4 linked regions of the Lepisosteus oculatus genome follow. The protein of the gene in region 2 binds, or shares a complex with, the protein of the main gene of each other region. Links are inferred from orthologs where the notes say so. Each region holds a gene or a part of one and is shown on either strand. Other genes may lie near its edges. The genes, in order: taf13, taf6, taf4a and taf7.

What was found.
Region 1: taf6 (region 2) and taf13 share a complex: the UniProt entries of both Homo sapiens proteins name them as parts of the TFIID basal transcription factor complex. The link is inferred for Lepisosteus oculatus from reciprocal best matches to the Homo sapiens genes TAF6 and TAF13.
Region 3: taf6 (region 2) and taf4a share a complex: the UniProt entries of both Homo sapiens proteins name them as parts of the TFIID basal transcription factor complex. The link is inferred for Lepisosteus oculatus from reciprocal best matches to the Homo sapiens genes TAF6 and TAF4.
Region 4: taf6 (region 2) and taf7 share a complex: the UniProt entries of both Homo sapiens proteins name them as parts of the TFIID basal transcription factor complex. The link is inferred for Lepisosteus oculatus from reciprocal best matches to the Homo sapiens genes TAF6 and TAF7.

What each region holds. Positions count from the first base shown.
Region 1 is NC_090700.1:3,894,343-3,901,858, forward strand, and holds the start of taf13 (transcription initiation factor TFIID subunit 13), read right to left. Parts: upstream 3,391-7,516; 5' UTR 3,154-3,390; coding exon 3,127-3,153; intron 2,122-3,126; coding exon 2,043-2,121; intron 1,455-2,042; coding exon 1,357-1,454; intron 142-1,356; coding exon 1-141. Other genes in the region: casr (extracellular calcium-sensing receptor), read right to left, coding at 6,666-7,516. UniProt on the Homo sapiens protein: The TFIID basal transcription factor complex plays a major role in the initiation of RNA polymerase II (Pol II)-dependent transcription.
Region 2 is NC_090698.1:7,388,190-7,395,925, forward strand, and holds the start of taf6 (transcription initiation factor TFIID subunit 6), read left to right. Parts: upstream 1-4,160; 5' UTR 4,161-4,286; intron 4,287-5,878; coding exon 5,879-6,034; intron 6,035-6,326; coding exon 6,327-6,413; intron 6,414-6,561; coding exon 6,562-6,715; intron 6,716-6,807; coding exon 6,808-6,864; intron 6,865-7,047; coding exon 7,048-7,167; intron 7,168-7,399; coding exon 7,400-7,521; intron 7,522-7,733; coding exon 7,734-7,736. Other genes in the region: cnpy4 (protein canopy 4), read right to left, coding at 1,368-1,531, 1,655-1,772, 2,476-2,598, 2,677-2,773, 2,897-3,023, 3,690-3,774. UniProt on the Homo sapiens protein: The TFIID basal transcription factor complex plays a major role in the initiation of RNA polymerase II (Pol II)-dependent transcription.
Region 3 is NC_090711.1:8,523,659-8,531,864, forward strand, and holds the start of taf4a (transcription initiation factor TFIID subunit 4), read right to left. Parts: upstream 3,534-8,206; 5' UTR 3,514-3,533; coding exon 3,282-3,513; intron 3,138-3,281; coding exon 2,139-3,137; intron 1-2,138. Other genes in the region: lsm14b (protein LSM14 homolog B), read left to right, coding at 7,347-7,467, 7,847-8,010. UniProt on the Homo sapiens protein: The TFIID basal transcription factor complex plays a major role in the initiation of RNA polymerase II (Pol II)-dependent transcription.
Region 4 is NC_090703.1:50,850,069-50,858,601, reverse strand, and holds the start of taf7 (transcription initiation factor TFIID subunit 7), read left to right. Parts: upstream 1-5,351; 5' UTR 5,352-5,448; intron 5,449-5,742; exon of another isoform or gene 5,743-5,949; intron 5,950-6,030; exon of another isoform or gene 6,031-6,120; intron 6,121-6,395; 5' UTR 6,396-6,420; coding exon 6,421-6,460; intron 6,461-6,611; coding exon 6,612-6,688; intron 6,689-6,790; coding exon 6,791-6,869; intron 6,870-7,389; coding exon 7,390-7,523; intron 7,524-7,842; coding exon 7,843-7,966; intron 7,967-8,280; coding exon 8,281-8,339; intron 8,340-8,533. Other genes in the region: timm8a (mitochondrial import inner membrane translocase subunit Tim8 A), read left to right, coding at 66-227; magnesium transporter NIPA2, read right to left, coding at 2,258-2,907, 3,190-3,350, 3,679-3,769, 4,304-4,360, 5,196-5,337. UniProt on the Homo sapiens protein: The TFIID basal transcription factor complex plays a major role in the initiation of RNA polymerase II (Pol II)-dependent transcription.

The sequences.
Region 1 (7,516 bases), on a different chromosome or scaffold from region 2:
CTTTCGGGCTCTTTTCAACTCTTCATTCATAGTCAGCAGATCCTTGACCCTCGCAAACTTTCTAGGATCTTTCCTGATGAGAAACACAATATCTTCAACTTGAACTCGACCTTGTCGCCCAATAGACATGGCTTTGTGCGTCTGTGAATTGAATAAGGAAAAACAGAAACGTCCATAAGTCTTCCACAAGCCAAAACTCACACTGAACAACAAATAAGCAACATGATCTGTCTATTTTGAACAGAAACTTTCATGATCAACTAATTAAAACACAATGTTTCTGTTACTATTATCTACATCTGGGGTGGAGAACACACTTTAAAACACATTACATTAATTACCTGAACAAGTCTTGCTTGAACTAACTAGTTGCTTGATTAAAAAAAATCAATTTTTTTCTCATCTTGCTTGGAATTTTATTTATGAAATGCAATAGTTCAAAGACAACCTCCAACATGTACAAGAGCTGAAAACAGTCACACAGGTCAAATTAATTCTGTTATTAAGTCAATTAAGGAGTTCAATTGTGTAGCAGACATCTCAGCTGGATCAGAACTTAGCATGTGTGTGGTCCTCTAGGAGTAGGACTGGAAAACACCGAACTAAATTATTCAGAAGTGCACTATATAGCACATGCTGTGGAGTTTTAGTACTGCAGAGAACAGATGTCTTCCACATGAGTAATATGAAGAATTTATTTACCCTTACAGAGGCCCCTGCTACAAGTGCAGGTTCCTAAATAAAGCAACTTGTAGCAAGAAAGAGGAATTAATATACATGAGGAATAATGTAATTAGCTTGAGATACATTCCTAACACAATCAGTTCAGACATGTATTTACATAAAATGTACCTAAAACCCATAAAAACAACAAATCAAAACTGATGAGACAAATGTTATTATTCTTACCAGGGAAATGGAATTGATATGTTGGAAAGTGGAAGTGTGACACATTGCCTCTTGTGAATAGAACTAAACCTCACACCAACACTTTTTTTTTCCCCATCAATTCCAACAAATATATAAAGATACGATATGTACATTCGCAGTGCGTTCAGAGGGCCACATCGCAGCACACTGCAGCGCCTGCCAGCCAGCCTACATTGCTGGGTTTTGGTTCATTGAAAAAGTGCATAATCGTGCGAACAAAATGAATATAGCTCCTTAATTAACTGATGAAGTACAGCTGAAGCAATGAATATTGATGCATATTACGGTGACTAATAACAGGGACCCTCTGTACCTCCATTTGCTTCCCAGAGCTCGACTAAATGAATGTTCTCATCTGCAAAGCTCACCCTTCGAACTCAGGCTCACACTGCTAGGCAGAACAGAGCAGCTGTGCTCACAACGTACCATTTCTGTGATGAACTCTATCACAAGATCCTCCAGAATGTCCACAGACTCGGTGTAGGGGTTCTGATCGTCCCCGAATCCATACATCATGCATCGAACTGCGTGTGAGGGAGATAATACCACACAAAACTGCAATTGAGGCTACAATTGTTAATGAAATGGCACACATTATTATTATTATTATTATTACTACATGAAGACAAAAGCAAGAGAGAAGATGATAAGAAAAAACAAGAACCCCCCAAAAAATAACATCAAAGTCTTGAAGTATGTAACTATCAACAAGGTACAGCACCTTTGAAAACACATTACGACTGCTGACGACTGCAGCAGGAGGGGAATTCTGATATGAAAAAGTACACTGGTACTACTCTGCATTTCGCAGTTTTATGATAAAAAGCTGAGGAAATTTCTATAATTTTGTTAGTTGTTTTTTACGTAAAAAATAGCTGAGGTAAATACTTCACGAATATTCCCATTAAGCAGAGGCCCCCAAAAATATTCTGTTGAAGCTTTAGAATTGTCCTGTTGACTAAAGCTGACAGCAGTAAAACGAGCCCTGACTGCTTTTTGGCAGAAAAGAGAAGGATGAAGCTTTAAATCGGGACATGCGTGTCTCGCGTATAAAACAAACAAGCTCCTGTGCCACGAGGCGACGTCAGAGGGAAGCCAATGGAAAATCTCACGTTCTTTGGAGAAGAGCCTTTTCCTTCTCCCATGACCCCCCTCTGCCCCGCTGCCTCCTTCCTCGACATCCTCCTCGAACTGCAAGACAGAGCGGAGCACGGGACCAGTTCACTTCCAGGAGGAAAATCACATTTCACACTGGAATTCCTGTCACTCTTAGTAAAGCACGGACAGAGCTCATCTGAAACACACACACACCACTGTAACACCTAAACGTTCTATACTCTTCTGTGGCCACCCCAGGCTTCTGCAGAGCCCAACTCCAGCAGGTGTTAGAGAGTCACCGGTTTAGTAAGAACTTAGAACACCGGAGTTTTCTTCAGTTGAGCCAATACTGTACATTAAGTGGTTCAGGAATGAACCACTGGCATCCCCAAGAACTATGGGGTGCAGGTATTTGGATTTCAGGTGATCTCTGAACTACATCGTTTCATAAATCACCGGCGTTAAGAGGTCAACCAGCTGCTGCAGATCTGTAATAAAAGACGGTGGCCTGGAGGGTTGGTCGAAAACTCCCCTTTCTTAATAAAAATCAAGGGTAGCGCTGCTTTGGCCACATCACTGCCTTCTGACTAAACATTTAAACGGGACTTGCATTATAAATACTAATAGGCGACTCATAAACGTGCACGAAAATTAAGCTTTTTGGAACATGTACAGACAGACAAATCCTTTCTGCCATGAAGCTCGCTGGTGGACACAACTTGCAGTTTCTAATTTGAGCCCGCTGTCTTTACACAAGCAATTAATTTATGGATCTTGTTTTTAAATTGAGCTTCAACATTCAGTCCAACCTAAATACAACATTTTCTTTTGTATTAAACCAGTACTGTTCTAAAATGAGCACTGCAGGGAAACAAAACATGAAATTCCAAATGCCGGTGTCGATGTGCATGAATATTGTCATCACCCCAGGACCAAGTACAATGAAACAAGCCCGGGCGAACTTTCACCTATGTCTCCCCCCGTCACTGAAGTAAGAGAAAGGAAATGAGCACTAGGCTCTATGAGGCTGGAATGAATCGAAGACATCACAAAAGTATCACAGAGCGTGAAAAGGCGAGAAAAAAGATAAATACACACCGCGGGGTCATCGTCGTCGTCGGCCATCCTAGATCCTACTAAAGCCGCAATTGTAGCGAATTGGTGTGCAGGGAGACGCAGAAAAAAATCGGGATTTTACAGGCTAAGACTGAAGCTTGAAGAGTGTGTGTAGTCAACCGCCAAAAACTGTACCGGTACTTTACCAAGGGAACAAATTTCTGCAGCTGTCCAGGGAACTACTAAAAACAAGCGCTGGGCGCTAGCGACCATTCACTTCCTGGGTCCCAGGTCATGTGACCTTCCGGTCAGATTATACCATTACAAACCGGAGCGCTTACTGACATTACATTCTTTAACCGTCACCTATTGCCAGAACTTAAATAGGTATAAACACAATTGTAGTAAAATACTTTACAAAACAAACTCCTAATCCGTTTCTGAGACATCTTTTGCACCCACGCCGATGGTTTTATCTACGCCGGCGTGAGGCGAGTGGACGAGTCCTGGTTGCGCAGATTCCCGCAGCTCTACGCAGATACTGCGCAGATTGGAAGACAAAACTGTTCTAAATGCAAAGCAGGATCAGGAGTCTCTACCCACGACTTTCCGATTAGTGCAGTCTTTTGAGTCCATCTCACTGTAGAGATCTACGAATGACCGATTAGGGGAATCGCTTTAATTACAATAATTAAGTTGGTAGCTAGCTGCAGAGGTCAGTTTGATTGAACGAGGTGCCTATAATGTGGACTTTCTTTTCATGACTTAAAAAATGTTTTTTAAAAATCTTTTCTCTTTAGAAGGCCAGTATTAATCACATAACATTAAGCGAATTGCAGTCCACAAACACTGTACACTTTCTCTGCATGCGGATGATGGTACAAATGCCGTAAAATGTCACGCTGTATAAATGCATAACCTGGCCGGATTTGGCTGGAAAAATAAAAGGAATAATGCCGGATTAAATGTAATTCTGGGTGAGCATTGTCTATGACTGTTCCTACCTATGGTCGCTACAGTTAGGAGAAACAGTGGTTAAACTGCGTATTCTCCAAGCTAGCAATGGTTACAATAAAGTCAACCAGATAATCCGTTTGCCGCCCTGCTCGTACCATCCAACGTGAACCATCGTCATCGTGTTTATTCTGGAATCGCTGTTGGGAAATTCCACCCCCTCGGTCGGCAGGAAGAAATCAGCTTTGAAGTGCGTGTGCGTGTAGCCCTGGTCTCTTCTTGGCCTGTGCGGAATGGGCTCGGCAGCTCCCACGCTGTTGCTGGAGTTTCAGTCACACCCACCGAGCCCAGCAGGGGGCGCCCGGAGAGACGCGTGATTCCCCTCAAGGGCCGGAGCCGGCGGGCCTCTCTGCAGACTTCTGCTCGTCCAATTAGGCGGTCAATGAGACCCTTGGTGAGGTAACTGAGGGTCTGGGTGGGAGGAAAACCAGGTATCTCACGCATCCCCCCCCGAAAGCGGAGCACCGTGCGAAAAACAGATGTGGTGCTTTCAAGTACCAGTTTTTATGTTTGCTAAATGCCAACAGCTTGCCTGGACAGGCCCTGGCTACCCAGCGGCCCTGTGCTGGACACAGCTGCGAGATAATGGAGACAAAACGGACGAGTATCGACACAGACAGACATCAGTCCGGGAGAGTAGTAGCTCTATCTAAAATAAAGTTATGTGTAGCACAGGGTGGTGTTCTTTTCATGTAATTGTACTGCGAATAGAATTATTATCCAGAATAAGCTAAACCCCAAGAGAACATTTCTTTTAAAACAAAGTTGTTTAATCTTTCGTACAGGGGTTACATTTGACATCAAGCCCAAAGATTTATAGTTCACATGAAACAACAGGGCCCGCGTTGAATAAGTATTAACTGCTTTCATAATGACATGAAAATACATTTAGATCCATACAGACTATTCTAAAACGTCCCTAGCATTAACAGAAGCGCAATTTTTTCCTCAAGCAGTGAAGACTAATCTAGAACAGGAACACCTAACCCGAGAATGCACAGTACACTGCAGTGCTAGCCCCTATATATTCAATTACCCAACATTCCTGGAAAACTAAAATTATGCTTAGTGTCCCCAAAAACTTTATAGGAAAGAGATGAAAGATTCAAATGTTCTTGTAGATTCACTGACGTCACTGCATCCAAGAGAATGGTACAGGTTAAACGGGTCTGCTATTGAACAGTGTGCACAGTTTGTACTTACCGGATACATGCTAGCAGACACAGGACACCTTAGCGACCTCTCTTGGATAGCCCTGACAACAACCTGAGGACAGCAGTATCCCAGCCTTGGGCATGGTAAAGATCGTTAATGACCCAGCATTATTAATGTGCCGCTAATCTATTGCCTGGTGGGGGGGGCTATCATTGGACCTGAGACCTGTTTTTGTGTCTCTGCTGTTCCCACAGGGTCAGCCGGTGCTGTACAATATAATTCTGTAAAGCCCTCTGTGGTCAACTGTTGCAAAGGGCGCTACAGCGAATGAAGATTGATTGATTGGTGAATTGATGGGTTGATACAATGTTCGTTTTTGGAGTAATTTTGTCTGTGGTCTTTATCACGATTAAAACCAGGCACACAAATGTAAACTGCCTCAATTCGAAAAGTTTGCACTATTTCATCTGTTGTCTGTATACCATGCACTTGCAGAAAAGGAGAAAAGGACAATCCTTAACGGGTATTTTTATGTAGAAAATACTTGATAAATGTTATGAAAAAGTCCCTTCATACTTCACCCTCTGTCCTCTTTCAGTACCAATGACATTACAGTACCAAATAAAATTATAGTATGTGAGGGGCTTAATTGCTCAAAAAAGCTATTTTTGAACAATGTGTAGAACACTAGTAGAAGTGACTAATGCAAAGCAACTATCATTCTAAATTTCAGTGAATGAAAATAGATTTGAAAAACATGGATACTGATGTGCACTTTATTATAGCTAGTAATTTTTATTGTTAAATACCTTAATAACCTTAAATGCTAAATATACTTATTTATGGAGAGTATTGATTTATCATCTTAAAAAAGTGTTTTAAGCAGACCCTTGAAACCCCAGTTCAGAAAGGCTCACACAAATGACCTTCGAAAAGCACAACAGCAGTGTCGCATTAATTTAAGAATTTAAGATTCATTTGTTTTATATAAACACAAATAAGGAAAAATGTATTCTTGTAATTAGAGTGGTAACGTCTCTCTAAAACTGGGTTACCATTTCTGTGTAATCGTTTTGCATGTTTTTAATTGGGCCTTTCTCAGTAGATCTTAGTGCTTGTAGTATTTAGTACTTTTTCTCCTCAATAAAAAGCAGAGGCAGAGAGTTGCAGAACAATTGGAAGGGTCAGCTCGCAAACAGATATAGCAAAGGTCCGCGTCCCGGTAGGAGCAGGAGATAAACTCGGTCTGATGCTCACAGTGCTAGACATTCAGCTCCAGGTTACAAAAAGTGATTCTAATGTGAGCGCCGCAAAGGAGCTCCCCTCGGGCTCAGCCCAGGCGGCCTCAGCCTACTTCTGAGAGCACTGGGAAGGGGGGGGGGGGCGGGCGCGGAGGGCGTCGCGAGAGGATGTTAGGAGTTGCTGGAGTTCTCCGTGAACGCGTTGGCCCCAAAGCCGGCAGAGTTCGCGGAAGGGAAGGGCGCGGCGTCGTCAGCGGTGCTGCCCTCCTCCTGCTTCCTCCCGCCGGCGGCTTCCTGGGAGGGGTTGCTGCCGGCGGTCCTGAAGCTGGGGTCGCTCCGGGCTTCGCTGTTCTGCAGGGGCAGCAGGGCCTTGTGCCTCATCAGGCTGTCGCCGCTGTCCTTGCCCTCCAGGGAGCTCTTCCTCCGGCTGTACCTGACGGCCACGGAATTCTTCCGGGGCTCCTCGAAGCTGAGAGAGAGCATCACCTTGCCACCGCCGAAGCTCACCGTCTGCTTGCAAGCCCTCTGCGGCCCCGCTGCGGGGAGGTCCTGGTCCTCGTTGCTCTTGAAGCTGATGGAGGACGAGGGCGTGGACACCGAGGAGCCGCCGACGCTGTTGGACCTCTTGCGCGAGACGGCGCTGCGCCGCAGCGTCGCCCGGGCCGCCACCTTGAAGGCGTGGGCCGCGGTGCTGCAGCGCACCTCCTCGATCGTGTTCCTGGATGGCTTGAAGAGGATGATGTAGACCTTGTTGAAGAAGATGCAGGCCAGGAGCCCGAAGCTGGAGGCCAAGATGGCGATGACCTCCACGGCCGACACAAACTTGCCGTAGGTGCTGACGTAGGCGGGGATGAAGGAGATCCAGACGATGAAGAAGATAAGCATGCTGAAGGTGATGAACTTGGCCTCGTTGAAGTTCTCTGGCAGTTTGCGGGACTTGAAGGCAAAGAAGAAGCAGACGGCGGCCAGCAGGCAGGTGTACCCGATGAGGAACCCCAGTGCCATGAGGGAGCCCTCATTGC
Region 2 (7,736 bases):
AACTGAGGTAATGACAGCCTTACTTGGACCTGTTGAATGTCTTTCTCCAGTCCTTCTGGGTCTGGAGATCTGTTAAAACCTGCAGGACTGAAGGTCTCCAGGGCAGGAGCTGTGTACCCGTGTCTTACAGTGACAGGCCTGTACTGTGATGTAGAATGCAGTGCAGCGCTGCAGTTTTGTTTGAGGTTTTCTGTGACTCTGCTGGATCTTACACAGTTATACTACATAGTTTTACTGGTCTCTGCTGTTCTGCTTCAAATTGAACTGTACAATACTGTATTATAGCACTTTTATACTGTATCACTGCATTCTGTTGTAAATCACTAGGCTGCACTGCAAAAAAAAAAAACTATATTGGATCAGATAGTAGATGTAGCATACTGTATTCTACTGAACTCAGCTGTACTGTAGCACATACATAATATGGTAATATTGTGTACAAAAACGAAAGGTTAGGTATTTAACTCCACTAAACCAGACTGAACTTTTATGATATAAAGCAGAACTATACTGATCAACTCTAAGACTGTACCAAAACGGAATATAAAATTGTAATCAAACACACTGTGCAACAGATCACTGTACTGAGCAATATGGTGCTGTTCTATACAGCCTTACAGGAGCTCATCACAGCCAATACCTCACACAGGTAGCCTGTGCCCCCTGCTGCACTAGAATGGATATTATCATTAGAGTTCAGTCAGCAATGCAACACTTTTTAAAATTTTACGTTTAGCACATGATTACACTTTCTGAAAAAAAAAGAACTGGCACCCGCATTCAATGACCAGGGGTGAGCAGAGTTTTGACTGCACCGGAGTACCTACAGTGGAGCCAAAACCAGGTTTCATACTCACAGCACTGAAAGAGAGAATCCAAAACCCCTCACACTACTGTTTTGGAACTTTTGCTTTTCAAGACATTCAGTCAAAATGAGAAGAAGTGTAACAATAAAAAAACAGGCTAACTAAAAACTGTAACAGGCGGTTGCAGAAAAAGGTAGCGGCAGCTCTCTCCTTCAAGATCTCACAGCGATCACAGGGACTGTGTTTGGCTCTGGCTCACTCAAGTCTAAACTGCAAGTCTAAAATGAGCAGTTTAGTTCATTCAGGACAGGATTAAACCCCACCTAAAAAAAAGGAGAGCAATCAAAAATCACCTCCTCATATTTGTAGCGTTGGGTGACACAGCAGCCAGTGAGTGATTAATGCTGTCGTGTAGCTGTAGTGTTAAATGACACACTTATCCAGTCTCTGATGTGGCAGTGTAGCCAGTCCTTGCGTTTGGCAGCAGAGCTTATATTGGGGATAGAGTCCATCCATCTGGCTATAATAACATTCCTGAGAATATGTAAGGCCCATAGCATCTCAGAGCTCCCCTGCATCCCGTGAGGTGTGTGCTGCCCCTGACTCACTGCCCCCCTCACTCTCCTTCTCTGTATTCTCTTGCCCTCTCCCGCCTGCGCTTGCGGTCTTCTTATCCGGAGTTCCCTTCTTCCCCACGTCGCCTTTCCACATCTCCTTCAGGCAGCCTGCCGGAGAGGGGAGAGGGGTCACATGTCAATGCGTGGCAGTGGCCTGGAGTTCCTCTGGGCAAGAGTCTGCTGTGGCGCGTGCATGCTGCAGTGTCTGTAAGAGACAGTGTGCGCTCTCACCCATGTCAGAGCCCTTGAGGACGCGTTTCTCACACAGGAAGGTCTCCAGTCGCTGGTCCTGATGGTGGAAATACCAGTCCTCCACGACATCTTCATACTGCTCCAGCATCGTCTCGCACTGCAACACAACACCAGTCCACACACAGTGACACAGTCCTGTACAACACCCTCATTCTGCCCCAGCAACACAACACCAGTCCACACGCAGTGACACAGTCCTGTACAACACCCTCATACTGCCCCAGCAACACAACACCAGTCCACACGCAGTGACACAGTCCTGTACAACACCCTCATTCTGCCCCAGCAACACAACACCAGTCCACACGCAGTGACACAGTCCTGTACAACACCCTCATACTGCTCCAGCAACACAACACCAGTCCACACACATTGACACAGTCCTGTACAACACCCTCATACTGCCCCAGCAACACAACACCAGTCCACACACAGTGACACAGTCCTGTACAACACCCTCATACTGCTCCAGCAACACAACACCAGTCCACACGCAGTGACACAGTCCTGTACAACACCCTCATTCTGCCCCAGCAACACAACACCAGTCCACACGCAGTGACACAGTCCTGTACAACACCTTCACACTGCCCCAGCAACACAACACCAGTACACACACAGTGACACGATGCTGTACCATCATCATCATAACCCACTGCAACGTTGACACACAAAGGAACTGCAGCACATTATAATAAAGGAACACCCTTCAACACCATGCAATACATACCACAACCACACAAGATGACTAAAAACAAAGACAACGCAGTGATGCGGCCCACAGCGCCCCCTGTAGGTACCTGCTTCTTCATGTCCGACACCTCCACTGAAGGCTCGTCCCACAGCTCATAGGGGAGGCCCAGCTCCACCTTCACACCCTTATTCACCAGGTTCTTCAGAGTCATCATGGTCTCACTGGTGCCCTGAGACAGGAGCGGAAAGTGAGACCAAGAGAGGGGAGGGCAGGACCTTCAGCGTTTATTAACCAGACACTGACTGACCTTGGCGTAGCGCAGGCTGCCCGGCCTCTCGGCATGGACGTTGTACTCCAGGATGCCCTGGCAGATGTTGTCGATGGCCTCCGCCAGGCGCGTCTCTCTGGGAACACGTACACACACAGCACACGGGCACAGCAAATGTGTCCATCAGGAAAGGGGTTCGGGCTCAATCGCCATCACCTCCGCCCCCCCCCAGCCTTCGCCCTGTCAGCACCGTACTCACGAGGTGTTGTATTTGATCTTGCGTTTGCGTTTCCCTGTGTCCAGCACCTCGCCGAGCTCCAGCACCTCCTTCGACCGGCTTGTCTTATCCAGGGAGGCCTGCAGCTCCACTGTCAGGAACTTACAGACTGTGGGTCATAAACACACAGAGACACAGCAGTGCTGACACACTGGCCAGAACTACAGAGACACAGACACATCAACACTGACACACTGGCCAGAACTACAGAGTCACAGACACATCAACACTGACACACTGGCCAGAACTAGAGTCACAGACACAGCAGTACTGACACACTAGCCAGAACTACAGAGTCACAGACACATCAACACTGACACACTGGCCAGAACTACAGAGTCACAGACACAGCAGTACTGACACACTGGCCAGAACTACAGAGACACAGACACATCAACACTGACACACTGGCCAGAACTACAGAGACACAGACACATCAACACTGACACACTGGCCAGAACTACAGAGTCACAGACGCAGCAGTACTGACACATTGGCCAGAATTACAGAGTCACGGAAATCCCTGTTGAAATGCAGTTTGGGTGATTTAAAAGGCTCTACTACCAACCTTACACTTTTCTGTATAAAGTAAAGCTTGTTACAGTGTGTTACACTTTTCACAGCTGTACTCTTCCCTAGCAGTAAAGTAAATGGACGCACAGTACTGTATTGCGATATTATTTGCCAGTATTTTAATGGAGGGGCTGTCTATCCCCGTCTTTCAACTGAATTAAAGACAGAGAGACAGCAAAGCTAATCTCTGTGCCTTACTCACCTTCGCATTTATTAGGCAAGCGCTCATCCTCCTCCCCAGCGGAAAAGCTAGGAAAAAACAGCACAGCGAGCAATATAATTTTCATTATTTAAACAGCTTCTTCTAAAAAAATAAAACTACGGTTCTACTGTGAGGGATACAGCCACATCGACATATCAATATATCTAACCGCACAGTGAGGGCACAGAGCATGCGCACTTTAGCATGTGTGGGTACGGGATTGGCAATGAGTCTGCGCATTGACACTTTGTTTGCAGAGTACAGGTCCTGGAAGCTTAAAGAGCTTAAAGAGGTATACGATTAGAAATTAAAGGACAAACCAAAACAAAGATTTTGTAGTCATAGATGTATTTCTAATGGACGAATATATATCACATTCATATAATATCTATGATTATTTGAGTCTTTCTAAGAAAAAAGCAACTCATGTGATGTAACGTATCTGTAAGGGACCTGGAAGTCCTCACCAACCAAATCAAGATGGCGGCATTTCCAGAAAAGAGTGTCGGGGCATGAGGAATAATAATAAAAACATTATTTCATACTGGGCTTTTTTTCCTTCAGACGCCCGATTCTGCAGTTGTTAGTACATGAAAGGTGAGTGGTGTATGATTATCATCTGCGTTAAGGAACATGAACTCTGCTGAATGTGTAAAGCGAAATCGAAGAAAATGCGGGAAACCAAAACATAACGATAGTAGCCGTAAGATGTATGAACAAGAAAACACATGAGAGGCAGGAATTGAAATTTCACAGAACACGACGTGATTCTTTGAAGTGCTGATGTTATAGCATGCAGTAGAAGTACTGCAGCAACAATGCAATACTATGTGTCTCGGTTTTGTAAACGCGTCTCTTTCAGACTCGCTGTATGATTGATGTGGTCTAAGCTTCTGATTAAGTACGCCAATATTTAGCTTTTCTTTTGCGTTTTCCATGGTATCTTTCAGCGTTAGTAATCTCTCAGAATTCAGCTAAATTCAAGCGCTAGATGGTTCAGCTAAGGAGCGTGACGTATACGATGGATGACGTCACAAGAGTATAGGTGGACTGTTGTGAGGGGCCACATCTCTGACTTTGCCACGAGAGACCACCTTCCTGAGCCTCTGGTTAAGACTCTGCCTTTACATGTCTGCAGTTGTGCTACTATTTCTCTTTTCTCGCGTAACGGAGGGTGGTACTTCTATGGCTCAGTCAGTGTAGTGCTGTGGTGTTTCTGGAAAGCGTCTCTGCAGAGGCCGGATAGGGTATCGCATTGTTAAGCAAGATCGAAAATAAAAAGCTTGAGCTTGATCGCGCGTCTCCGATTTTAGCTTCTCTATACTGGTAACCAGTGTTGGGCTATTATTATTCAGGCTGATAATAAGATCTTGCAGCCTGTTTGTAGGGCTTAAAATAGTCCATATGATACTGAAGACTGCTTGGGTTCTGCTGGAGGGCCCTGCTGTACGTACCAGGAGCCAACACCTACAGCATGGGAGACCGTTCCATCAGGACTCCGGCACCAGGCCCCTCTGCAGCTCCTTCCCCAGGATTAACAAGGAAACGACCACTGCTGATCTTTTTGAAGACATTTTATACACCAACAGCCTTTTTATGCCCTCATCTCTTGTTCTTTTTTTTCGTGTTTTTTTTTGTATTCTGAGAAGTGCTATTTTTAGTGAAAGGCACTATTTAATAATTGCTCATAAAAAAACATCCTCAATAAGACTTACACTCTCCCAGGAATTTGTGTTCCACTTCACTAGCAAAAACAGCAGAGATTTCTGAGACCTACAGAACTGAGGTACAGTGTCCCCTGTGAGGGAATTCTGGGATAGACGTACAGAACTGAGGTACAGTGTCCCCTGTGTGGGAATTCTGGGATAGACTTACAGAACTGAGGTACAGTGTTCCTTGTGTGGGAATTCTGGGATAGACTAACAAAACAGGCGTACAGACAGTTTCCCTTGTGTGGGAATTCTGGGATAGATTTACAGATTTGAGGTCCAGACAGTGTCCCTTGTGTTGGAACTCTGGGATAGACTTACAGAATTGAGGTACAGACAGTGTCCCTTGTGGGGGAATTCTGGGATAGACGTACAGAACTGAGGTACATGCAGTGTCCCTTGTGTGGGAATTCTGGGATAGACCTAGAGAACCGGTGTCCCTCCGGTTGGTGTTCAGTGCCATGTATCTCTCTCTCCCAGATGGCAGAGGAGCGAAAGCAGAAGCAGTGTGTGACGGTGCTGCCCACCGAGTCCATGAAGGCCATGGCTGAGTCGGTTGGGGTGTCACAGCTGCAGGAGGAGTCCTGCCTGGCCCTGAGCGAGGAGGTCAGCTACCGCATCAAGGAGATTGCTCAGGTCGGTGACTCTCCGTCTTATCTGTGCCTGTCTGTGTTCATCTCTCACACATACCCCCCACGCCACTGCGCTCCAGCACAAGACTGACCCTCTGTTTCTGGATGACTGAGACGCACCACCAGCTCTTAGTCAGCCTGTTTCCTGTGCCTGTCTGTGTGCCTTTCTCTGATGCTTGCATCCGTTTGTCTTTCAGAAGTGGAAGTGATTTATTTGTAACATGTGTTTGTCTGTGATGGGTGACCAATTTGTGGTTTAGGCTGTGATTGGCTGACAAGTTCTGTCGTGCCCTCAGGATGCGCTGAAATTCATGCATCATGGGAAGAGGCGCAAACTGACAACAAGCGACATCGACTATGCCCTGAAGCTGAAGAATGTGGAGGTGAGACCGAGGGATTGCCATGCGTTTGTCACCATGCTCATTCACACAGGACCTGAGTTTCTGAAATTATCAGTTTTTATAGTAGATGTGCAGTGTGTGTGGTATTGTGTTTGCGTATAATAGCGTGTTGTGTGTGTGTGTGTTCCAGCCGCTGTATGGGTTCCAGTCCCAGGAGTTTATCCCCTTCCGTTTTGCCAGTGGAGGCGGCAGAGAGCTGCACTTCTATGAGGAGAAGGAGGTGGACCTGAGTGACATCATCAACACGCCCCTTCCCCGGGTGCCACTGGATGTGTCGATGAAAGGTAGATGGCCGATCAACAGACTGACCTGCATAGTGACTAATTGACAGACAGTCTGACTTACTCAATGACTCATTATCTTGCCTGTCTTGCAGCTCATTGGCTGAGCATTGAAGGTGTCCAGCCAGCCATCCCAGAGAACCCGCCACCAGGTGAGAGGATGCTGGGATCTGTAGTCCCGCAAAACTGCTGCTTTTTGTAGTGACAGTGGGAAATGAGCAAACATTGACTTTTGTATGGCACTGACCCTAGCTGTAGCCACCTTTAGTTTAATCAGATTTTACGATTGTGAAACACTGGTTGTCTTTCTCTCATGCCCTCCTCCTATCTCACAGCACCAAAAGAGCAGCAAAAGGCTGAGTCTACAGAACCTCTCAAGGCCGTGAAGCCCGGACAGGAAGAGGAGGGGCAGATTCAGGGCAAAGGTCAAGGAGCGACAACTGCAGAGGCTAAAGGTTAGTAATCCTACTGCTCTTATGTAGTGAGGGTTGAAGTGCTGTGTAATCATTCAAAAGTTTCCCGATCTGCAATGTATTTTCAAGGGGGTCTTTGTGTTCAGTTTTCATTTATAGACTGAGTATTAACGGCACTGGAAAAAATAAAATTATTAAGAGCTGTAATAGTCTGGTGGCAGGCTCGTCGGAGGACCAGGGTGTTTGTTAAAACGTCTCTCCCCATCTTTCTCAGGAAAGGAAAAGTGTGTGTTGCGATTGAAGCCACGCAGTACCCATGAGCTGTCCGTGGAGCAGCAGCTCTACTACAAGGAGATCACCGAGGCCTGTGTGGGCTCCTGTGAGGCTAAGAGAGCTGTGAGTCCTTCTGATTTCCACCAGCCTGCGTGATTATGTCTGTCACGCTGCCTGGCTGTGTCTATGTGCACTTGCCTGCCTGTCAACCCCTGTGAACCACAGCCTGTTTGACGGTGCGACAGTGTTCCGTGTTGCAGGGTGTTGAGTGTACTGCTGGAAGAGGAAGCTGGCTGTTTGACTGCACCCTCTTACGGTCTGTCCCTCTCTTTCAGGAG
Region 3 (8,206 bases), on a different chromosome or scaffold from region 2:
GTTTTGTCACTCCGCTGTCAGCGTGTAACATCTTGCGCGTTCTTTCTTCCCGGAACGTTTCGTGCTGTAGCTTCTGCCGTGGAGGGACGACCACACAGAAGAAGCCGACAGTCCCGGGCCAGTGAGAGGACCCACAGCTTTCCAAGACATGACCTCGGAGGGCCGGTTTCCTGGTTTCCCGGGACGGGACTGCAGATGCTGATACAGAGCATCTCATTCTTCAGGCACTCTCTCTCATCGACAGGCCACCTTTGATTATTCCAACTGACACAATCGGGTAATCTTCATCCCCTAATCGGGGCACGGTTATATCTTTTACTTACAGGTACTAAAATCATCGTATTGCATTGCTACTTAAACCCATTCTAAATCATATAGTATTGACACTTCTTACTCCGCTGTCACCTAGCACCTAGCACTTTTTGGAATCACACGACTTGAGCTCAGTATTTTGATATCCCAGGGAGATGGATAAGAAAGAAAGGAAGTATTCAATGTAGGGATATCTCAGGCCTACTTTGCACTATTATAAATAAAGAGAAGTGAATATATAGCCCGAGTGCTGTGAAGTTGTGAAGTAGTAAGTGTGCCTGGCAGTTTGAAATCACATCTTCTTCCACCACAATTTCTGAGCTGGAGCGTTTAGCATAGCCACCAACAACTTTATTCTTTTTTACGTCGGTGGATTAAACAACCCTTTATACATGAACTTCGTTTTTACACCAGCTAATCCAGACTTTAGTTTAACAACGGCAACAACTTGCTTGAAATTAAGCCTCCTTCATGCTTAATAGTCATAGTTAGGTACAAAATCAGAGACCACCGAAGCAATCTGTCAGTGCCTCTGTGTGGGCTAACTGTTCACGAAGGTATGCAGATTGTTAATAAAATGAACAAAACCAGCAGATGCAGTAACTAGACTAACTGTGGTTTTGAATTACTGTTAAAAACTTTCTTCACAGTGGAGCTAACTACACATAAGGCCTACATACCTCTTTTGAATACTTTTTCTCACTGTAATCATTAATCTCTTTAGAGCAATGGCAACAAGCAGCTTTTAAACACTTTAGATTTTAAAGGACCGAAGAAAGTAAAAACAAACACACATACAGACAAATAATACAGTATTCACTTTTCTGTCTAAGGCACAAGAGGTCCTAGGAACACTGATTAGCTCAGAGGACACAGGGTAACTTCAGTCATGTCTACTAGTGTAAAATAAACACCTCACACAGAGGACTGCTTCTGTCAGTCATCACTGTTTCTGCCACCTGTGTTACTGATTCTAACAGTTTGTGAGTCATTTATTACTACTACATTGTTAAATTAAACTGCCATTTATGTTTACTGAGAGGTTTATCTTGCAAAGTGATAAGTTGCAAAGTTCCTGCTCAAACTTCCTCTCTCCTGAAAAGTTCTCCAAGAGAGAAACACCAGCCTCAGCTTTGGATAGATTCACGTAACGGGTTTATGAATAGCTGCTGTATTTTGATTGTTACACACAGTTAACGTGCAATAATGACCTTTGCTCTACAAACTTCAAAATACATTGTCTTTGTTTATATTTCATCAATTGTCACGGTTTAAGGACTTGCCAAGCCAAACTTTCTACTTGCTAGGTTGTAGTGGCAGCAGCCACTTTAAGAAGGAAAGAAAGTCGGAGTACTTAATAAAACGTACACATTGGAACCAAAAACGTTTGGATACCAGCTTAGCTTTTCGGTCTTTAGGCTATAAATAAGCTTTTTTTCAGTTCCCTAACTTTAAAATTACACATATTCACAGACTTATCCGAAAGGGGCATCAGCAGACGCTCTTCTTGAGACGCACATTATCGTTCATGAAAATAAAACGACCGACATGATCGAGAAAGATAAAAGGTAAAAAAAAAAAGTGCAATCTCTTGACTTACTCGAGCAAGACCGTGACTATAATTACACAGCGTGTGTATGAAATTTGTCTTGGGCTTCAGACGCTGAGCTAATCATGAACTAAAAGCGATTCAGTCCCTATTAAGTTATGAAGGAGTTAGGATCCTGTCTAGAATTAAGGACAGCTCTTAAAAGTTCTTCAAGGGGAAAAAAACCCCTAGAATTGCTGGTGTGTTCAATAATAAAAACAAACTTTTAAAGGCTTACCTGGAGGCAGCTGGATGTTCTGGATATTTGGCTGATTCTGCGGTGCGTGGGGCAGGCGGGGAGCCAACACCTGCGGAGCTATAGTCCGTATTCCGACCGGACCGGGCACGACTGCTCCCGGAGTGGAAGTCCTGGCTACATTCTGCAAGACCGGACTCTTCCCGATAGCCGCGGCCGAACTGGGCTGCGGTGGAGGTCCTGGCTGCAGGGCGTTTTGCATAGGCTGACCAAGAGTCAAGTTACCGGCGTTCGCCACCACACCGGGCGCAACTGCCTGCGCTGTAGTCTGGATGATAGTTTTGGGGGACTCCGACTTGATCACCTGCGCCCCGGCGCTCACGGGCGACGGGCTGCTGTTTAAAAGCGGAGCCTGTAAAGATATTCCAGATCCCACCGGGGCGGGCAGGCTCGCTACACTGACCGCCGAAGTCAGGACCGTACTGTTCGTACTCCCATTCTGCGTCGTACCCGGTCCGGTCGTGTGCATCGGAGGCCGCACTAGAGTCACTGTAGGTCCGCTTCCCAAACTTGTCGCCTGAGACGAGATCACTGTCGAAGTAACAACATTCTGCGCGTTCACGAAAGAGGTCTGTATAACAGTGCTTGAGGCTGAAGGCAAAACAGCGTTTACATTTCCTTTCACAACCGATCCAGGTCCGTTGTTGACAACTGTGACAGCAGGTGCAGTGCTGCTGCTGCTGCTGCAAGTCGTAGCACTTGATACTGGCGTCCCGGGGAAAACAGCGGCACTTCCTGAATTGTGAGAGTTCATTACTACATTACTCCCATTCAAAGTTTGCACCGCAGACGTCCCGATTTTCCCGTTGCCCGCTCCGTGGTTGGGCACAGCGGTTACCATGGCACTGACAGCCACAGTTTTGCCTTGGCTGAGCCCCACTGATGCCTCCGACCCCGCCGATGATGTGATCCCTGTCGTTGCATCCATATCTGAACCCTGGGACCTCGTATTATTAATAACACCCCCTTGCACTCCAGCCCCTGTTGGAACGGAAACAAACCAGAGTGAGAGGGAAAAATATCACAGCACATTGGAAGGCATGGCAATGAATGCATTCGTTTACATTTTCTCTTTCGGAAACAGAAAAGAAAAAAACCAAAACAACGTTTACTATGTTACATTACCTGCTTTTGCCAGATCTTGTGCAAGTCCCAATTTGCTCTCCTGGACACTGGCATTGCCTCCTACCCCAGGGCTTGCAATGTGGTTCCCCACCGCCTGACCTCTTATGTCGGTGTTCCCGTGACCCGAGCCGGTTAGCTCAGACTCCAGGGACCCCACCAGATCGCTAACTACTTTCTCGTCCACCTCTGTGTTGAAGAAAACCTCATCCAGCAAATCGGAGCCCGCCGCCATCTTACTCTGCTATGAGCTGAGGGGGGGTTACCCGGCCTCACGCACGCGCGAATGGTGTGAAACGTCACCGGGATAGGGATTCCGGCGTATTCTGATTGGTTGTTTCCAGATTTAAAGGGCGGGACAAATGGCTGAAAGCGTCATTATCGAGAAAGTAGAGGATGATACAGCACCGTCGGTTGAGGAGCTGGTGGGGTTTAAGTATAATAGTATTAAGCTGCTGTGTCCGCGTTACTTTTTAACGCAAATAACGGACCCAACTGGAAATTACAGGCAGTGATGTTTATGAGTCTTTAATGCTGGTTTGGAGTTGTGAATCTGGCAAAAATCGAAGAGACTTTCTGTTTTGGCGCTTCGGCTTTTTGTACTTGCGTTTCAAGATGGCTGCGTTGTTTTTGTTCAGTAAGTTCAGAGAGTGTGTGAGGGCGCCACACCTGAGAGTGCTGCCAAGAGCGTGTAGTACATGCTGTCGAGACTACTGGGGGGTTATCTTGTAATACTGTAAAGTGTATTTCAGCGGTGGGTGCGAGTTAGAAGCGGTTTCCTTTATTAGACCGGAACTGATTATTTTTTTTTGTTTGAATCGTATCTGACCTGTGTTGCGGTAGTGTAAGAGGGCATGGCTGGCTTTGTTTGTTGATAAATGAATTCTTGCACTCCGCCACTAAACAAAAGGGGAAAGTATATTTATGTCAGTGCAACTGTCATTGTATGAAACAGACTATTTACAGACCGTGACTCCGAGATGCTACACCCGCGTAGCGGAGATGTGAAGCGTTAGTGAAAGGTGGCAGTACCCAAGCTAGACGCTTCATCCGAGGAAAACTTGGGTTTTATCCTGTGCTCCCATTTACGACCTGAGAAGCACGGCCAGGCTTTTCGGGGTGTCGATTTGACAGTCTCCCGTGTCTGACTTTAAAGTTCCTTTAGCCCTTGTTCGAAGCCGAATCATTTCCCAGTCCTAGTAAAAATAAGGGCTGCTCCTTTCTCTCCGTTTGTTCGACCTCTTCAAGCTGTAGCTGTACGTCCTGCTTCCCATCTATTCAAAATGCTCACGCCCCCAATTCGCAGCACGTATTCTGCTCGGTTTTTTCCCCCTGCAGTGTGAATTTGTACATTTTGTATAAATTTAATTAAGATTTGTAATGTTTCATTTCCTCTTGTAGATCGCTTTGGACAAAATTGTCATACAAATAAATCCACATAAAATGAGTTATCTTGTACTGTTGTGATTATTGTATTGTTAATTTATTAACGGGTATGTTTTTGCTTACACCACTTTTTTATTTATTTTTTTATTCCTTGATTTGCTTAGACACTTAACCAGGACTGTTTATAAAATTGTCATACAGGAAACAAGCTAAATGCAGTAAGAAGATGAATGTCTGAATTTAAATTGCAATGCATAAGAGCCTCAGCTGAATCGGTTGGCAATGATATATGGGGTAAAATAATGTGCACTGGTTTTTTGTTTGTCAAAATTTGAACTTTTAATGGGTTCTGCAACTTCAATATATTTATCTTTCAGCGCAGGTTTGATGTGTATTGTCTGTATAACAAGACATTGCCAGAGGAAGCAGGACTGGAATAAGCTACACTGAAAATCAAGATCATATGCAACTAACCTGCTAAGAAGCTGAAAATGTACAGAGCACGTGGATTACATAGGTGTATTCTCTCCTGTGAGCTGTCTCTCCTTCAATATGTTGTAGCCCTTTAAAATGTTTTTTACTGGTTGTCGTGTATCTTTCACTGTTTGTTTGCTAAACACACACCTGAAAGGCTGCTTGTCCATTTTATCCCTAAAGGTATATACTTATTTGATCTCAAACACGCCTAGCATTGTCATCTGTCTTTTAACAGAGTTGACACCAGATTGGTGCCTTTTCACTAATAATTATCTTACACTTAGTGCTTTTCTGGACACTCAAAGTGCTTTGCAGGTAATGGGGACTCCCCTCCACCACCACCAATGTGCAGCATCCACCTGGATGATGTGATGGCAGCCATGGTGCACCAGTATACTCGCCACACACCAGCTATCAGTGGGGAGGAGAGCAGAGTAATGAAGCCAATTTACTGGGGATTATTAGGAGACAAATGAGAAATTTGGGCAGGGTTACACCCCAACCTGTTTAAGAAATGCCCTGAGATTTATACTGACCACAGAGAGTCAGGACCTCAGTTTTACATCTCATCCAAAGGACAGTGCCTGTTTTACAGTATAGTCTCCCTGTCACTATACTGGGGCATTAGGACCCACATGGACCACAGGGTGAGTACCCCTGCTGTCCCCACTAACACCTCTTCCAGCAGCAACCTTAGTTTTTCCCAGGAGGTCTCCCATCCAGGTACTGACCAGGCTCACACCTGCTGAGCTTCAGTGGGTTGTCAGTTGTGAGTTGCAGAGTAATGTAGGTGCTGGCTATATAAAAAAAATTACATGGATGGAGGAGATGCAGATTCTTATTATACATGTATACTTACATAGTAAGTCATGTAGTAGTTACAGTGGAGTCACCAATACATAAAATGAGACTTATAAAATCTGAGCGGTTCTCTAAAACTCGTTCTCTATCTTTTTGTGCCATCGACCATCTCCCTAAATCTCCCTACATGCAGAGGAAAATGGTGTGAATACAATTTACTCAGTGAGACTGGGAGTGTTAATATGAATGTCTAAGACATTTTAATTGTATTGAAGAACTCCATTACACATTGAGGTTAAAAAAGGCTAGGAGTCAGTTTGATTTGTCTTAGGTGATAACATCTTACTATTTACCAAGGGATTTCATAAATCCTTTTCATAAGGAATCGGGAAATGTGTTTCAACTCCGTGTAGAGGCAGCTATAGATACCAGCTAGATCACCCTGCAACGCACAGCTGGCAAACCACAAGTTTGAGACTGGCCAATACCTGGATGGGAGACCTTCTGGGAAAGCTGGAAAAGGTGTTATTGGGACCAGTAGGGAGCACTCACACTGCATCCTGTGTGGGTGCTAATGCCTCAGTATAGCGTCGGGGACGCTAGACTGTAAAAGGGCGTCTTCCTTTGGATGAGATGTAAAACCAAGGTCCTAAATCTCTGTGGTCATTAAAAATCTCAGGGCGCTTCATGAAAAGAGTAGGCATATTAACCTGGTGTCCTGGCCAAAAATCCACCCAGCCTTTATCAAATCATTGCCTCTTGATAATCCCCATCTATGAATTGGCTTTATTACTGTGTTCTCTTCCATAGCTGATATGTGTCTGCCATCACTTTTGCTGGTGGTGGAGGGGAGTTCCCATTATCTGTAAAGCGTTTTGAGTGGAGTGCCCAGCAAAGAGCTATATAAATGTAAGGAAATATTTATTAGCTGTGTAACAGATCTTCACAACGCTTTGTGTAAAGAAGTAGCAGCTAGTTTCTGTCCTAAATGCAATTCCTCTTAACGCTGTCCTTGGATCTTTGCTCTACAGTTAATCGTTAAAAGGGCCAATAGCCAACATACCGCATTACGGCTCAAGTGCAAAGTTGGGGGTTACGACATTGAGCAAAACGCGAAACATTACTAGAGTCTTTACTTCTGTCTTCCAAACGGCAGGGGGCACCCTCTGTCTGTCTGTCTGTCTGACTGTCTGATTGATAGATTGTTTTCAGCCTCTTCTGCCGAATTCTCTATAAAACCGTGCGAGATGGGGCGGCGGATCACTCGGCTGAGTTTGATGTTTAAGATCGGTGTTCTTAACAAGTTAACATTGCTACAATTAAAGATCGAACGTAGGAGTGGAGGAAAAAAAAAATCTCCTTTGAAAATTACAAGTTGGTAAAGGAAGTACATATATACCGGCCATGAGTACCGGAACACCTTACCTTGGTAGCAAAATTGGCCTCATATCCAAGGCCCAGATCCGATATGAGGGTATTTTGTACACCATAGATACGGAGAACTCGACCGTGGCGTTAGCTAAAGGTGAGTACCAGTTGCTTTCCTTCTTCCAGTGGAAACTTACAAACCTTTTTATTCGTGTTTATTTATAGGAGATGTAACAGAGACGCTCTTAGGTGCCCGTGAAATGATTGTGTTTGAGAGGCGGGGTGTTTGTATCCTCGTTTGAGGTGGTGGCGCCAGTAACCAGTTACCTTTCGGTACCTTTGAATCTCTTTTAAGAGACTAGTTCGCAAGTTAAAGATTGTTTTACCGGCGTAAAAGCAAGAAAAAGTTCTGGTTCTTAAGAATGTTACTTCGGGATAGTCATTATTTTAGGAGTTAGGTGCTAGCCTGTTACCTGTGTGTAAGTAATGAAGTGGGAACCGACGGTCTTAATGCCATTTGTCCTTCCCTGGATTAGTGCGATCCTTCGGGACGGAGGGCCGCCCTACAGATAGACCAGTGCCTCCCAGGGACGAGATCTACGAGTACATCATCTTCAGGGGAAGTGATATTAAAGACATAACGGTGTGCGAGCCTCCGAAGCCTCTCCATGCCTTACCCCAGGACCCGGCGATTGTGCAAGTATGTGGGACGCGACTTGTTCGTGGCCGAAGTTTGTGCGCCTGATTCTGCTTATTGTTCGAATAACTGTACTGTTGGGTGTCATTAATATGCAATGGCTTTCAATAACATTGCACGTCAGACATCCAAAGTTTATACGAATAATGCAATTTTTGATGTGTTAATGCATTTTTAAGTGCTTTATTGAAAATGTTTT
Region 4 (8,533 bases), on a different chromosome or scaffold from region 2:
TGCGGGCCTTCAGTGCACAGCAGCGGTGTAGAATTCAATGCTCCTTCTTGATTTCCCATTTACAGGACAAGTGCATGGATAAGCCGGGGCCGAAGCTGGACTCCAGAACAGAGACTTGCTTTGTGAACTGTGTAGAGCGCTTCATCGACACCAGCCAGTTTATCCTGAACAGACTGGAGCAGACCCAGAGGGGCAAGGTGTCCCTCTCGGAGAGCATGTCTGACTGAGCCTCGCGGGGGCACGGAGCCGGGCCTGAGCACAGCGCCACAGACATGGGGGTGCACCCGCGAGGGACTGACGGGGCAGGCCAGGGGCGCGAAGACAAGTACAAATGCCCCTGGACTGCCGGCACCCCCTGCCATGTTGTTTTACCCCAAGGGCTGATTCTGACACCTCCCTCATCTCTCCGGGTTCTAGGAGTCATTAGTGAAAGATTTCAGTTTCGTAAGACTACGGAGTTGCCTTTAATTTGAAATCCCCAAAATGTTTACTACATGCAGAGTAAACCTGTTCAATGTATGTAAGTGAAAGGTAAAACCACCTCTGGTTATGGAAAGGTTGTATTGTGTGCATGGATGAAAACGATGATGAAAAGTATGTTAACTGTTGGTGGCTCAGTCCATTCAAAGCTTTAAAGTGTTTAAATTGAATTTTAGTGTGAACATTCGACAGCGGGAAGCTCTCAAAATACACCTACAGTGTGACATTGTTTGCCCTGTTTCCATTTCAAATATAGAAAACTGAAATCGTACTGCTTGAAGTCAGTTTTTTTAGTTAGGTTTGATTTTTTTTTTAAAGTAACGTTCGTGCTGAATTCCTTGTTAAGCCATTCAGTGAGGTTTTTAGGATGTGAACTATGTTAATTTGAGTGAGAAAACAGACTCTATTGTGCTTTTTAGCCACTAAACAATCTAAGGCACCTCTTGCATAAAATTAACTAACAAAACACATACTGTATAAAGAAAAACTAATCATAGCTGAATTGCAGTTAAACAGCTTTCAGTTTTTATTAAAATCCTAAACTCTTATTTACAATAACAAGGTATCAAAAATTAAAGATTGTTTTTTAGAAAGGAACAATAAATATACACATTTGATTTATGACACCAAAGATTACAAGTGTGCTAAGCCATTACGCTTGTTAATACTGTAGTTTTCACGTATATAGCATTTGGGAACGGAGGAGATCAGTCCACCTGTCACATGTAAACAACCATACAGCTTCTCCAGAAAGCCACTGTAATTACACTTCTCCATGAAATCTCCTCCGGCCTCCAGCCAGACAAACTGCACACTGAGTAAAAGTGGAAGAATCTGTGCAGTGTGGAAAATCAACCCGTGGAACCTGTCCCTGCCACCAGTGAAAGGCACGAGGTGGTACACATGACCCCTGAATAGACGTGTACAATAACCTGGCTACTAGTCTCCAGTACTGCAGTTCATTGAATTACAGAATTCTCCAGAATTACGGCAATCCTACAGAAGTACTGAGAGTTGTGCAATTCAGAATTATACTAATTACTTATACTGTATAAACATATAAACGTGTATGAAATGATTGACACAAATGAATAATACTATATTAACCGTGTTCAACTTTCTGGACCTCAAGTTGTTAATTGCACCACTGGTAAAAATACATTTAAAAAGGCACCTATTCACGTGACAGTTAGTGAAAAAAGTTACTCTAGTGTTTTGTAGCTAAGCATTAACTTCAGCACAGAAAATTAAATTCTCTCAATTACAGTTTCCTAGACCTACATAGATCCTACTGTAAACCTTGGGATCAATAAGAACAAAAGACACTTAAAAAAGCCAGTGAGCTAATGAGCACAGTGCTGTGTGACGTGTCAGTCCTCTCCCCATTTTTATGCATCCTCCCATTTCAGTGCCACATGTTCTGCAAAGAATGGGAACAGAACTAGTTTTAATAGTGCAGACCTGTCAACCAGAGCCAGCGGCAAAGGAGAAGAGTTAAAAAAGATGATTCATGGGGAGTAAAAACGAAAGGAAAAGGAACAAGGATGGCAGTATGAAGTCCTGTGAAACAAGAGGGACTTTTGTGAGAGTAGTCATTTGCAGAGAGAGGGGGTTTTGCTTCCTTTTGGACGAGTACTGTATTTTAAAATATTTTAGAAGGATACTTCCTAGAAGGCACGGTATCCTTCCCAGATTCCGTTCTAAAAATATCTTCAAGACCCCGAATTATTATAAAACAACAACAACAGATGGGTGTTAAAAGGATCTGGCTCCACTGTTAGGTGACCGTGACGCTGCTGCTTCTCCTGGCTGCGCTGTCAGGAGAATGCCTCTTACTGCCTCCCTCCCTCAAAGGCTGTCCCCCAGGCGTTTCCGCCTCCTGGCTGGGCACGGGAATATAGGGCTGGCCCCAGGGGGCCCCTCTCTGGCCCCTGCGGAGGAAGAGTGGGAGGGCATCCCAGGTGAAACTGACGTCCTTGAAGGCGTGGAGGAGAAAGATGCCCACGATGATGGTGAGGAAGCCGCTGATCGTGCCCAAGATGCCGTCCGCGGACATTTGGAACCACTCCTTGAAGAGGATGGCGGAGCAGGCCATGACCGCGGTAGTGAAAAAGACGTAGTAGATGGGAGTGACGATGGACGTGTTGAAGATGTCCAGCGCCTTGTTCAGGTAGTTGATCTGCGTGCTGATGCAGGCCACCAGACACACCAGCAGCGCCCAGAACAGGGGCTCCTTCAGCACCGGCTTCCCCGCGAACAGCTCCTTCGCGCCGATCCCCAGCCCCTTCACACAGGACACGGAGAGGGAGCCGATCGCCGAACAGATGAAGATGTAGACCAGCACATTCTTCTGGCCGTAGCGCGGGGCCACGATGAAGATCAGGACCAGGCTGCTCACAACGACGCACGCGGCGAACACAATGAAACCTGCAACAGGCAGAAGACAGCAGTTCTGTTAAAGTGAATAATCTGAAAGAAAGAAATCGGGCGCTCGCTCGGCAGCGATCACAGCTTTCAACATCCAGCTTTTTGCATCCCACTTCAGCTTTCATCGCCGGCGTCTTCCTGTGGCTCAAGCCAAAACCAGACAGGGCTGTGATCACTGACCACTGCCGGTCACTTAAATCACAAACTTCAAACTTAATTTCAGCCCAGTGAATTCCGGAGGGCACATTCACCCCCGAGAGACTGTGCAGGTGTGTGACGTACCGGGATCTTTCAGCTTTTCCGCCATGGAGCTCAGGGAGTCCACTTCCTCCTCCTGTGGGGCATGGATGACCATCACGGTGGAGCCTAGGATGCACAGCAGACACCCGATCTTCCCGTGAACATTCAACCGCTCGTTGAGGAAATAGGAGGACAGCACAGCGCTGAGGAAACAGGAAGGGTGAGAGGGAGCTCTTGGACAAAAATGAAAAATGAAAGTGCTAGCACCTGTCAGAAATGTAACAATCTTTCTTGCATATCTGTATGTTATTAAGAACACAGGTCTTTTTGTGATGTGTTGTAAGTGACCCTTATTAGGATGGTTTGATGGAAGGTACCAAGACCATACTTGAAACAAATATCGGAAAAAAGACTTTTTTTTATCCAAGCGATTTACCACTGTTTTCATCAAAATGGCACACGGGTAAAAAAAATACACAGAGAAATCAAACAGCTTTTGCAGACTGAGCTCGTGTGTGTGTCCTGACTCACCTCACCAGGACGCTCAGGGCTCCCAGCGGCGTAACGAGCGTGGCCGGCGCAAAAGCGTAGGCCGCAAAATTCGCAGCCTCTCCCACCCCCACTGCAACACAAGAGGGCAGAGCAGGTCAGGAGGCACGCCAGGGCTTCTGCCATGAACACACTTTTGTTTTCAATCACAGTACTTTCTTTCAGAGGGTTTGGGCCTCCAGTCTCTGGCAGAACATGTGTCTCAAAGATTTCCAGATTAAAACAACGTACAGGTGAGCTGCAACGTCATGACCCGTTCATAAAAAAATGAAACACACCCGAGTATCTGGACATAACGCGCAGCACAGAGCAATGTGAGAGGAGAAGAGAGACGAAAATGGCAGAGAACCGAAGAGCCAGAATGGTTCTGATCTGGACATCCCTCCGGGTTGTCAAAGCACCACAGACCACCACTGGGTCAAGCGCTGGTTTAAACAAAACAAAGGCATGATCTTGGAAAGAAGTCTCTGCTGCTCAGACACGTCTTTCCGTAGCTCTTATTACAGTAAATCATAGTGGAAATGACATTCCTGAATGCTTTTGAAGAGTCTCGAAAATAAACTGTAGGACTTGTAGAACCCAAAAGGACACAGACTTCACGACTTACTTGAAATAAGTCCTGCCCACCACAGCCACTCCTTGAGGTAGGCGTGTCCTCCTTGGCCTGCACAGGGAAGGACAAAACAAAATGCCTTCATCTCCCAGTGTCTCCCGCTGAACTGCAGCTTATCACCACTGACAGCATCAGTAGCAGGAGTACAGGTATGTTTCCTTCAACACTTGTTTTAGCTCATGTCCAATACACCGACTGAACCAGTTTTTCAACGCAATCTGGTTTTCTGTGACAGGTACAAACAACAAAACTGGGAAACAAGTTCTCCAGCATCAACCGAAGAAACTCACAAGTGGGAAAAGACATTCCATTCCAACAATAATACGCCATATTTAAACACAAACACACTGCAAAGTGAACATCTTCCTAATTAAATAAATTTCATATTATCAACAATGTGAAATTTTAAAGAGATGCAAGAATGTCTCACATTTTCCCAAGATATGATGTAAATGGGTGCGACGTATGCTGTAACTCTTCCTGACCAGGTCACAGAAGGAAGTGACAATGACAAGATGACAGAAATGATACACGGTGAAAACACAACAGTCTAAGTTTCACATCAATGGTTCACTTCCCATTCAGGTACTGCTGTTTGCGTTTTACAGTGTGAGCAGTTACATTTGCTGGTTGTCTGAGTAGTGTACTGTGCCTTGGGATAACAAAACACTCTGCTCAAGTCATGTGATTGGTATTTGAGTTATTTTCGGAAAAAAACTACTTTAAAACTGGGCTCTATTAAACAGCCTGGAGAAACTGAAACAAAAGTTACACAAGGCACAGAGATTACAACGACGAATCATGCGATCTAACAGTAAAGTCGACAGTAAACGCAAGGACAGTGAGTCCCGATAAGGTAAGACACAGTCGCAGTGTGGACACGTACCCGCTCGCATTGACCCCTTACTGGCCAACCGGAGGAGCCCCTTCTTCTTCAGAATGAAACTGCCCCCAATAAAGACACTGGAGCAGATGGCCAGGGAGAGGCCGATGTAGAAATTCACTCGGCTCGCAGCATCGATATCCATCTGTTGACAAATGATTCAAGAAAGTCTGATACTGGAGAGAAATCACAGCTGAGCTGAGATTTAAAAAGAAAGAGAGAGAGAGACGCCTCGATCTAAAACTCAACAGCTCAGGTATGACTGTTTCGTATTACATTTCGTTTTACTGAAACCTATCTGGAGATTGAATGCAGCGTCGTTGAAACAGGTCAAAGTCAGTATCTGCTCGTTTGTTGAGGGTGAGGTTGAGGTTTTTTTTTCTAAAAAGCAATCCGTTAATTCAGTTCTTACTGTAGCTATAATTCAATTTTCCAAGACGTTTATGTGATGTCATGGGACAGCTTTGTCATAAAACAATAAGTTATTTGTAGAACATGTACATAATTCAATTAAACCTATTCTGTAATAGGGAAAAAAACAGGAATTTACCTTGCAATCGTGCCCATAGACGCCTGATACAGAGCTCTGTCACAGGCCGGGGAAACCGCAACTTCCTCCATCAACCCGTCCTCTCCGTCTGCAGGTCCCCCAGCTCCGGCTGCCCGGAACCTTTCTTTCTCCTCTTCTGCCGCGAAGCACCGTTTTGAGCTTTCTTCTATTTTAATTAAGTAATATTATCGCTGAAGACACCGGAATCCGTAAGGCAAAAGGCGTTTAACCGAACTGTTGACTTAGTGAATGTGAGCCGTATTAAAACGACGAGAGCAAGGCGGACCCTTTGGAGAGCGGGAGTTGTTGTTTACAGGTAGTCTTTTCAAGAGAGTATCCGGTTGTGTTGTTGTGGAGGAGGAGGTACAGTTGTTGTTGGTAAGTTCAGTACGTATTTCTTGCGGGATACAGTAAGATTATATTTATGATTTTATTTTGCTGCCTCTAACTATATGTAACATATTATTTTAATAGGAGCCAGGGTGGTGCCGTTTATATAGTTTGTTTTTTAGTTTACTTTATTCCCTGCACTATTTTTGAAAATTTGCATCAAAATCAATACGTTAGTTGAAGCACAAACAATAAACAACGATATCTCATATCTCCTAATCGCTTCTTTCTCTGCGTAATAAAAATATCAATTTTCTTTACAGAGGACTTCGTATAACGCAAGTGTTTATGCAGAATAAGAAGATCAAAATGACTTCCAAAGCAAAAGGTTCGACATTTCTTTCTGTGCACTTCGTTTACCTGTACATATTTATATCCGGATTTATTTAAATTTCGCTTAGATGGTGATGCTTAGTTAAGTCGATTTCATTACAAAAAGACGCCCTTAACTGTTGATGTCTTGATTTGTTCTCCTCCAGTGGGAAAGGCAGGCTCCAAAAACAAAGACGACGCGCCTCATGAGCTGGAGAGCCAGTTCATACTGCGGCTGCCCCCGGTACGGAACCTGAACCTCTCCGAGATCGGAGATGCCGAAATCGACCTCATGTAGTTTCCATTGAAACGTCCTCCTGTTTTTTTTTTTTTTTTTTTCATGTAGGAATACGCCTCCACGGTTCGGAGAGTAGTGCAGTCTGGTAGCGTCAATCTGAAAGACAGACTCACCATTGAACTGCACGGTTCGTACCCTGGAAGAGTTCCTCGATTGCTCAGATATTACGGGACTTAATCACTAATAACCGCATGTCTGGATGTTGCACTGGCTTCATCGTTCACTGGATCGCAACAAACAAACTGGGTCGAGATACAGACGGAATAATCTGGCATATTCGACCATTTTCTAGACCCGATTTAAGGGCTAAAAAAAACAACACCGAAATGACAGTTGTAATACATGTGTCCCTCTACGGCGTCCTTATTATATTAATAGTTCTTACAGTTAGGTAACTTGATATCTAGGTCAATTTCAGGTGTTAAGACACCATACTGTATGTACTTAAAGAATCCTACACCAGCTCCTGAAAATGTAAAGCTTGTTCTTATGTTATGGTGGTCATTTTATGAAGTCTTATTTCTTTCCCAGTTATGATCAGTTGAGTTTGTGTTAGAGAATGCATTTCTCTGAAGTTACAACAGCTTCAACAGTTGTGGCCATGTGCTTTCACGCATGATCTCAAAACGAATGACCCCTCTGTGCAGCTGACGGGCGCCATGGGATCGTGAGAGTGGATCGCGTTCCTCTGGCCTGCAAGCTGGTGGACCTCCCCTGCATTATAGAGTCTCTGAAGACAGTGGATAAGAAAACCTTTTATAAGACTGCAGATGTTTGTCAGGTAAGAACGAAACATTCAAAGGCATACTGTGAAAATTCATGTCTAGTTTTAAAATGTACACTTACTTTGATGCAATTAAGTTTTAAACTAAATTTCAATTTTATTAGGCTATATGCACAGTATTATTTTGGATCTGTTTTCCCTTATTTAAGTGTGATTGATTTTATTTGTTCTCCAATGTTTAATTGTAATTTTTCTGTAGCATTTTTTCACAAATCCTGGGAAGTAGTCCCTTCCTAGTTATCTATCTAGTTATTCAGTTATGAGTGGCTGACGCTCTTTGTGTTGAGCTGTTCAAATGAATATTGTATGTACACAGATGCTGGTGTGCACAGTGGATGGAGACCTGTACCCCCCTCTAGAGGAACCCACAGGAACTACAGAGCCCAAGAACAAGAAGAAAGACAAAGATAAAGACAAGAAGTTTATATGGAACCATGGCAGTGAGTATCCACCCTGCTCGCCTCGTTGCTTTAAAACGTGTTGTTCCTTGTTTTTTCAGAGGCAGTATTATAATGAGCCTGGTAACAAAATAGAGTTTAAATACTTTGAAATTAAGTTTCAAATACGAGACTTAAGATGTACTGTAGCAAGGCAGTATTTTTTCTTTCGTTAGCAGTAGTTCTTCTGTGGGTTTATGCAGGTAGGTGGATGTGTTTGCGCTGAGCCTTTTCAGAGCTTCCTGAAGATTTTCAAGTGACTGTGAACGGCTGTGTCCATATGAACAATAATAGTCGTCTTTGGTTTTACTGTCTAGTCACTCATCCCTTGAAAAACACCAGGAAGAGAAGATTCAGGAAAACTGCTAAGAAAAAGGTAAAATTTAATGTAAAATACCCCCAAAATCTTAAAGCTATGTCAAGACTATACCCATGTTGTAGGTATATTGAGAGGCTCTTGAGATATTTGTTCTCTGGTATAGATTTTATGAAAAGTGTAATAAATCAGGCACACTGGAATAATCAAATATGTATTAATGATGGCAATAACACACTAAGAACACGCAACAC